2 linked regions of the Diceros bicornis minor genome follow. The protein of the gene in region 2 purifies or fractionates together with the protein of the main gene of each other region. This does not show direct contact. Links are inferred from orthologs where the notes say so. Each region holds a gene or a part of one and is shown on either strand. Other genes may lie near its edges.

Region 1 (3,905 bases), on a different chromosome or scaffold from region 2:
CCCTTAACTGTGGAGATGCTATTAATTATGTTGCCCTCTGGAAAGACGTGGCAAGTTAATTATGAGATGATAAAGGCCAATCAATGTCCCTGTCCCCAGCAAAACTTTAAGAATTTCCTGCCACTAATTTTTAAGTTATTAACTTTCTATATACTTATTCTTTGGTGTCTGTTATTTCTAGTCCTTCACAATTAACTTTATTCTGGGGTGGAGCAGCAGGGAGTGAAATCTGCAGAATCTGGTCAAACTCCTATCCTCACAGTTAAGCCTCTGCTGAGAACCACCTGTAAAACCTCAGCTTCAATCTGAAGGACTCCACCAGCCTCAAACATGTTAACGTGCTAACCCTCTAAAAGGAGTTGTCACTCCTTATTTTTTAGAAACATTATAACAGTTTAACCAGAACAAGCATTCTTCCTCTATTATTGAAGCAGATACACTTATCAAATCAAAAGGGAAGTCTTAAAGAGCCCTCCTTGCTTTCTTTCAACAGCCCATTCTGTGATGTCAGTGGGCCTGTAAACTTTTAATAGAAGGTTTTTAGATTCCCAGCAAGAGAAGTTCTGAAATGTGCTCACTTCGTGATTAGCAGAAGAAACAGAGGATGGGTGGGCTGCAGCTGGCAAACTCAGAAAGCGCAGCTGGGGAGCAGGTGATCATAAAAAAAGAAAGAAAGAAAAAGGCAAATCCCTGGGCAAATTGTGTAGCCAAGGGTGATCATTATAACTGGCGAGTTGTTACATAATTACTCGTTAACTACTGACAAACACATACACGGCCCAAAATGCCATGGTTACTCTAGCCATTGAAGCTGGCCTAACTAGCGCAAGAGTCAAGGTTTCTCCAATTAATTTCATTCAAAGAAATAAGCAATCCCGGGAACTACTCCCTTCCAAGATAACCTGACTGCTTTTACATATACAAAACAGCCTCCAGCAATTAAGCCAATCGCCTCTGGGGACGAAAATCAGTGTTTCCCCTCAATATTGATTTTTAAAGGGCAGAGGGATTACAGAAAAAAGTACGTTCAAAGAGCTAAATATTTATCACCTGGATAAAAAACGACTTCCACTCCCAACTGGAAAATTTGAATAGACAAGGTCCCCCACCCCCCCACCCCCGTCCCTGCTCAGCTGGCGCAAAACGCAAGACCTGTGTCGGATGCACTGCATTCCAACATTTTTCAAAAAGTTTGCGAGGATTTACTAAAGCAGCCGGGAGGAAAATAAAGCCGGCAGAAGCGGGGGAGAGCGAGCGGGAGGGTTTCGGCAAGGAAGCACCTGGTGCAGCGCCCGGCGGCGCCGTGCAAGGCCCGGGAACGGGGAAGCGACCCGGCACCCAGGGAGCGAGCGCCCCAGCGGAGCGCGGGGACTGACAGCCGCGCGGGCTGCGCCGCCGGGGGTCCCCCGGCCCCCAAGCCCGGCCCCCGCCGCCGGCCTCCCTCTCCGACCCTTCCCCCGCAGCGCCGGCGATGCCCGCTGGGCCAACTTGGCCCCGGGTCAGCGCTGCGGAGCGCGGCCTCGGGGGCCGGGGAGGCCGCCGGCGCTCTTACCTCCTTCTGCTTGGGGTCCTGCGGGTAGACGTCGGGCGGCCCCAGCCGGGGGCGTTTCAGCGGTCTCTGCTCATAGCTGAGAAGCCCGAAGGCGGCCATGATCTCTCATGTTAACCGGCGAAATGAATGAGAGTTGGAGCTGGAGCAGCCGCCTCTGAGCACCAGGGAGCAGCACTTTGCAGACAGGCTCCCTCGCTCCCCCTCCTCGCTGGCTCGCTCGCTCGCTGTGGCGCTGCAGGCAGGAAGAAAGCAGGTTGGATGCTGCCGCTGCCCGGCACGCAGACACGCACGGATGGGGCAGCCTCGGCGGGCCCCCGGCGGCGCAGGAGCCCCGGGACGCAGCGCTCCGGCGCGGCGGCGGAGGGGGTGGAGGTCAGCCTGGGTCCCCCCACCCTGTCCCCAGGGGGAGGAGCAGCTGATGGAAACGTGTGACTTTTTTCACCAATGGACCCAAACCCACCACAGCCGGACGCAGGGTGGCGGTGGGGGAGGAGCACAGGGAAAAAAAAACTTTTCTTGGCGCCCGGGCGGGTGGTTCAAGTGCTCGCCCGAGGCGAGGGTGGTCCTCCGGCCGGAGGAAGAGACTGCGGAGCGGCCCGCCCCCGTCCCTCTACCTCGGCAGGGATCCTTTCCCCGCCGCCACGCGCCCCGCAGACCCCGCCACCTGGGCGCCGACCCGGCCGGGGCGGAGGGAGCGAGGCCTGGAGGGGATGGGCAGGCAGAGACGCGGCCGGTGCCTCCCGGACGCCCGCCGGGCTCCGGTGGCGCGTCGGCGGCTCGGGTCCCCTCGGCGGCTCCGGGCAGGCGCCGAGGCGCGCAGCTGGCGGTCGCAGCGGCTGGAGGGGGCCGTGCTCACGGTGGCGCGGGGCCGACTTAACCCTTTGCTGCCCCTCCAGGGGCCGGGAAGAGCGGGTGGGGAGGGTGGGCGAGGAGCGCCGACGGGGGCAGCCAGCCCCGGCGTCTCGGGCTCCCCAACCCGCCGCCCTCCCCCGGCCGCCCCTCCTCGCCTCCCCCGCAGTTTACCTGTTGGTCCCCGCTAGTGGGCAGGGGCCGGCGGCGGCGGCGCTCGGGCGGCCGCAGCCTCCATGATTCGGGGTGCGATGGGGGGACCGGATTCGATCTGATCTGTGGGGATCAGTGTCGGCCAGGCGAGCTCCGGGGACGCCGCGAAGTTTGCCGCTGCCCGGGGGCGGCGGGCGACGCCGGCTCGGCGCCGCCGGCGTCCTCGCCCCCACGGCCCGGAGCGCGAGCTTCCGAGTTGGGGCCGGCGCGCGGCGGCCGCACTGAGCATGCCCAGCTCGGGGCCGGAGCGCGGAGGAGTTGGCTGCGAGCGCTCCGATCCGCTCGCCGGGTTTTCGCAGCCGCAGCGCGCGCAGCCCGCGGCCCCCGCGCCGGCCACCCCGGGGCGAGTCTGCGCCGGGCGGGGGGCGCCCCGGACCCCGCGACCTCGCCTGAGGTCGCCGTCCCCGTGGCCTGGGCCGCAAACCTCACCTGCCCGGCGTGTGGAGGGAGGAGGTGAGCCCCCGGGGGAGACGCGGTCGTGCCACCCGCCCGCGCGCCTCGGGGCGTGGGCACCGAGATGCTGGGCCACCTGCCGCGGGCGCCGGAGCCTCGGGGGCGGGCCTGGCCTGTCCCCAGGGACCCCGCGGGAGGCGCGCCGGGAGGATGCGCCCGCACTTGGCCAAGAATGATGGCTGCCATTTATGGAGCCCTCGCTTCGTGCCAGGATCTTGACAGTAAAGGTCCCTGATCCTTAAAAAAAAACCTTATAAGGTTTTACTGTGTCCTGTTTGTAGATAGAGAAATTGAGTGAGCTAAAGGAGGTGCAGTGACTTGCTCAAAGCCACAGAGCTGCCTCCGCCCGATCCCAAATTTCTGATCCATTCTCCACGACCGGATTGGAAGGACTGGGTTCCTGAACTGCCTTTGCCCAAGTGTGTCACGTTCCCCGCACCTGGAGGAATTTCTCGGACTCCCGGGTCCATCCTTTATAGGACGGTGGAGCAACCGGGTGAATCTACCCGAAGCCTTCCTGCAGCGCCTGGCACATAGTAGGAGGCGTTGCCCAAATCTGAATATCTACTCCCCTCTGCTGGCTTCAAGCAAAGGGAAGCAAGAACAGGGTAGATAAGACAATGTGGTGGAATCTAGTTCCCCGCTCCCGACCCTGACCCGTTAGCACCTCCCGACTCAGCCTGAGGCCAAGTCAGGCCTGTAGTTTCTGTCTTCTTTACTCAACCTGAGGAATTACTCTTAGAGAACAGTTACCCTCCCCCGGGGGCATTTCCTGACCGCCTTCTGCACCCTGCTCCAAGGACTTCCCTTCCATTAACGCCCTGCGTGTAACTTCAAA
Region 2 (3,905 bases):
TTATACGTTTTTCTGAGTTAACCAAAATAAATTCTGGAACGAGCTAAACTGTAATTTACCACGATCAGAGTGTAAAATCCTTTACTATGCAAATCTGTATCACAGTTTAGAACCATCACTAAAAACTTTTTGTTCTTTCAAATGGCTGGTATCAGTGAACATAAAACTAATCCCACTACCAACCCACAAGAGATGGGTGTTTATGGTAAAGCCTCAAATCTCAACTAGACCCTTGGCCCAAGAAAAAAAGCTTCATAATGATTTTCCTTACATGTAATATAGTGATTTAAACGAATGCTTTCAGATCCTAAAAGGTTTTTTAAAAAACATATTATTTTGAAGATACACAAACTGATCTTACTCTACTAAAGAAGCTCTATTAATTCTAATCAAACAAATTTCACTCAAGAAGGAAGTGTATTCGAATCAAGAACTTTATTAGAAGGGGAAATATTCCAAAAGAACAAATAGAAGCAGGAATTAAAGTATCTGGTTTTTGTTGTAGCCCATACTATTCAAATACAATTCAGAAGCAGAATTTTTAACTTTTTCTCAAAAGTTGCCTGCTAAAAGGAAGCTATTTTAACAACAAAAATATTTAAATACATTTTTAAAATTCCAGGTCAAGTATATTACAAAGTTAGCATGAGGATCATGAAAAAACACCACGTATGATTTGTAAGGCCAATGTCCAAATAGGAAAACTAGATGTGCTTTCCCCAAATATATCTGATAAGATTCCCACAAGAATACAAGTGTAACAAGCAGAGTGGATATTCCAAAAACAAAATACAAGTTAATTACAGTACCTCACATTCCAAGATACTCATGCAAGGACTCCTGGCAATTAACTCAAAGAATTATGAGAAAAGTTTAGAAACAAATGAATACTATGGGGCCCGCTGAGTTATAACAAGAAAAAAATTATTTGCAATAATAACAATCCTTTACACTTGTATAATACCTTCTAATTTTCACGATACTTTATGATAAAACAATTTACAGTTGTGCTTTTTCGTTTCCTGTATGAAATTAGCACGCACGCACACAACCCCCTACCTACTTTGGTCCTGGAGTTCATAAATCAACCGTATCAATTACAACAGAGTGCACAGAACGATAAGCAACACTGCAAATCTTACTAATGTCATTGTGGCTGATATTCAGTTTATTTGGAAATGTTCCGCTACGATCATAAAAACTCTCTTCCACATAGTTTCGCCGTCTTGAGAGTCTAAGCGGGACAGGCAGATGTTCCTGGGCTCCCTAACTCTGGGGGAGGGAAATTCCTGCCAGGATGGACAGCGAGGTGACCGCTGGTTTAAACCTACTCTTCGCAGGCCGGGAGCTGGTTCCACCTGTCCTGCAGTGGAGCCCGTCTGCCCTCCAGGACGAAGGACAGGCGTTCTCAGTACAGTACCCAGCTCGCCTCCTCCAGAGAGAACAATCAGTAAGGGCTTTCTAAGGGGTTCCTACGGGTCTCCCTCGACTCTCAGGAAAACAAAGGTTCAGGCCCAGCTCTGTGTCACTCCGCATTCCGTTCTGGATAATCTAGGTGCCCGAGGAACCCCAGCACGCAGTTATTTGGCAGCAGATGCAGAGGACATAAGAACACCCAAGGTGGGGGAAATGAGTTGCCAGAGAACTAGGCGGATTCCGAAGTTCTGCGGGCAAAACGCGGTTAGTCTCGCAGGAGGTCCTACATTCGGGGGAAGGTGTGGAATTCAGAATGTGAACAAGCGAAATCCGGGGCGGGGGAGCAGGGGTCCAGCAGTCGCCGGGCATGCGACAGGGACAGAAGGGACTGCACCGAGGGGCCAGTGGCTGGCCGGCCCCAAGGGCGGAGGTGCCCAGAGGATCAGACCCGTGAGGCTGGCTAGGACCCCGGCGCGCGGCCGCCCGACGGGCTCCTCGGCGAGGTTTCAAACCGCCGCCCCGGGAGGCGCTCCGCCGATTGGAAGTTGCACAACGACCGTCACCAGCTCAGGGCCGGAGCGGCAACTCCTCGGCGGAGCTCTCCCAGCCCTCCGCGTCTCCCCAGGAGACCAGACCCCGCAAACTCCACCTCCCACCGAGGTCCCAACTCCAGTCCCGCCGCCAGCTCCGCGCACGCGGAGGGCGCCCTCCGGGACGGACCGACGCCCCCCAACTGGGCTGCGCCGCGGGAGCCCGAGGGGCGCGACGGGGCCGCGCGGAGGGCGGGCAGAACCCGAGTCCCTCAGAGTCCGCCCCGGGACGCGGCCCCGCGACCACCTCCGCTTCGCCCCTCCAGCACGGCCCGACCGGGCTCCGACCCACCCATCCCGCGCGGTCGCGGGCAGGGCGAGGACCCGAGCGAGCCTACTCCCCCCGCCCCTGCTCTTACCCATCTTTCCGCCTCGCCTTGTAGACGTGCCCGTAGGTGCCGCGTCCCACTTTGCACCCTTCGTACTCAAACAAATCCTCCACCCGCTCCCGCTCCGCCGCCAGCTTCGCCTTGAAATCATAATCCATTGTCTGCTTCCCCCATAGAGGCACCGGGACGCGGGGGCCGCCGCCGCTCAGTCCCTCCTCCTCCTCCCCCCGCGACCGCCGCTCCACTTCTCCAACAGCCGCCTCTCGGGCGCGCGCGCGCCGCCCGCCTCCCCGCGGTCCGCCTTCAGCAAGGGACTCCTCGGCGGCAGCAGCAACCACCTCCTCCACCTCCTCCTCCTCCTCCGCGGCGGCGGCGGCGGCGGCGGCGGCTCCCGCAGGCACCCCCAGTCCCGCCTCCCCCCTTCATTTCCTTGTTTTGGAACCTGGTGGGCCGCGCCGCGGCTTCCTCGAGCTCATTAACGAACCAGCCCGCCCGCCCCGAGGTCGCAGAAGCTCCTGGGAAATGTAGTTCCGCAGACCTCAACAGCAGCCGAGTTTTACCCGCGAAAGAAATACAACACCCAGGTTGCCTTGGGCCGCTACAGCCTCGCCTCCACAAGGCATGCACGCCTGCGCACTAGGGCCGCCCCTCCCCCTCAGGTAGCGCCGCACTGCCAGTTCCTGTGAAGGTAGATAGCGCAAAGTTGCAGTGTGCTTTCTGCGAGTCTGTGGGAGCTGGTGGAAAAACGGCTCTTGTTCTGGTGTGCGGGAACTACTGCACCGTACCCCTGAGCGAGGAGGAGGGTGGAAAGTATTTAACAACCGCCCAGCCCACCAGTTTGCTCCAGTGGTTTGAGAGGCGAGGACTGTGGTTAGGACAGTTGTACTGCAGATTGTTGTTTGTTTTTTGTGGCAATTGGTCCGCCTGTTGCCCCGCCCCCCCGTCCAACCGCTCATTGGCGGAGACTGGAGAATGACGTTCTCGTTGGTGCGTGGGTATCCCCAGGGTTTGGCTTCTTTCCCGCTCTTGATTGGTAATTGCTTGCGCTTGCTTCTTCCTGATAGGTTAATCTTTTTTCTTTACCAAAACCGTATTTCAAAAACTGAACTTCCAGCGGTTTCCTAGTTCCAGCATCGGTCTGAGAATATGTAACTTTTTTTTAATTAATTTATTAAATGTGCTTCTATAGGGAATCAATATTTCTGTTTGTGCATATTTGGTATGGCATCTTCATATTGTTCCTGGCCAACAATATTCTGTAAAGTGTATTTTTGTGTGTGTGTGTGTGTGTGTGTGTGAGGAGGACTAGCCCTGAGCTAACATCTGATGCCAATCCTCCCCTTTTTTTTTTCCTTGAGGAAGACTGGCCCTGAGCTAACATCTGTGCCCATCTTCCTCCACTTTATATGGGACGCCACCACAGCATGGCTTAACAAGTGGTGCGTCAGTGCACGCCCGGGATCTGAACCTGTGAACCCTGGGCCGCTGCAGCGGAGCGCGCGAACTTAACGACTTGCGGCACCGGGCCAGCCCCAGAATATGTAACTTTTGAGCCCTAGCTGCCAATCAT

What was found.
Region 1: the proteins of CDK19 (region 2) and MED12L purify together in Homo sapiens (affinity purification with mass spectrometry; 3 studies listed by BioGRID and IntAct, counting the BioPlex papers as one, with this or other methods). This does not show direct contact. The link is inferred for Diceros bicornis minor from reciprocal best matches to the Homo sapiens genes CDK19 and MED12L.

The regions. Positions count from the first base shown.
Region 1 is NC_080741.1:4,125,720-4,129,624, forward strand, and holds the start of MED12L (mediator of RNA polymerase II transcription subunit 12-like protein), read right to left. Parts: upstream 2,749-3,905; 5' UTR 2,576-2,748; intron 1,785-2,575; 5' UTR 1,652-1,784; coding exon 1,553-1,651; intron 1-1,552. UniProt on the Homo sapiens protein: May be a component of the Mediator complex, a coactivator involved in the regulated transcription of nearly all RNA polymerase II-dependent genes.
Region 2 is NC_080762.1:24,560,981-24,564,885, reverse strand, and holds the start of CDK19 (cyclin-dependent kinase 19), read right to left. Parts: upstream 2,645-3,905; 5' UTR 2,494-2,644; coding exon 2,366-2,493; intron 1-2,365.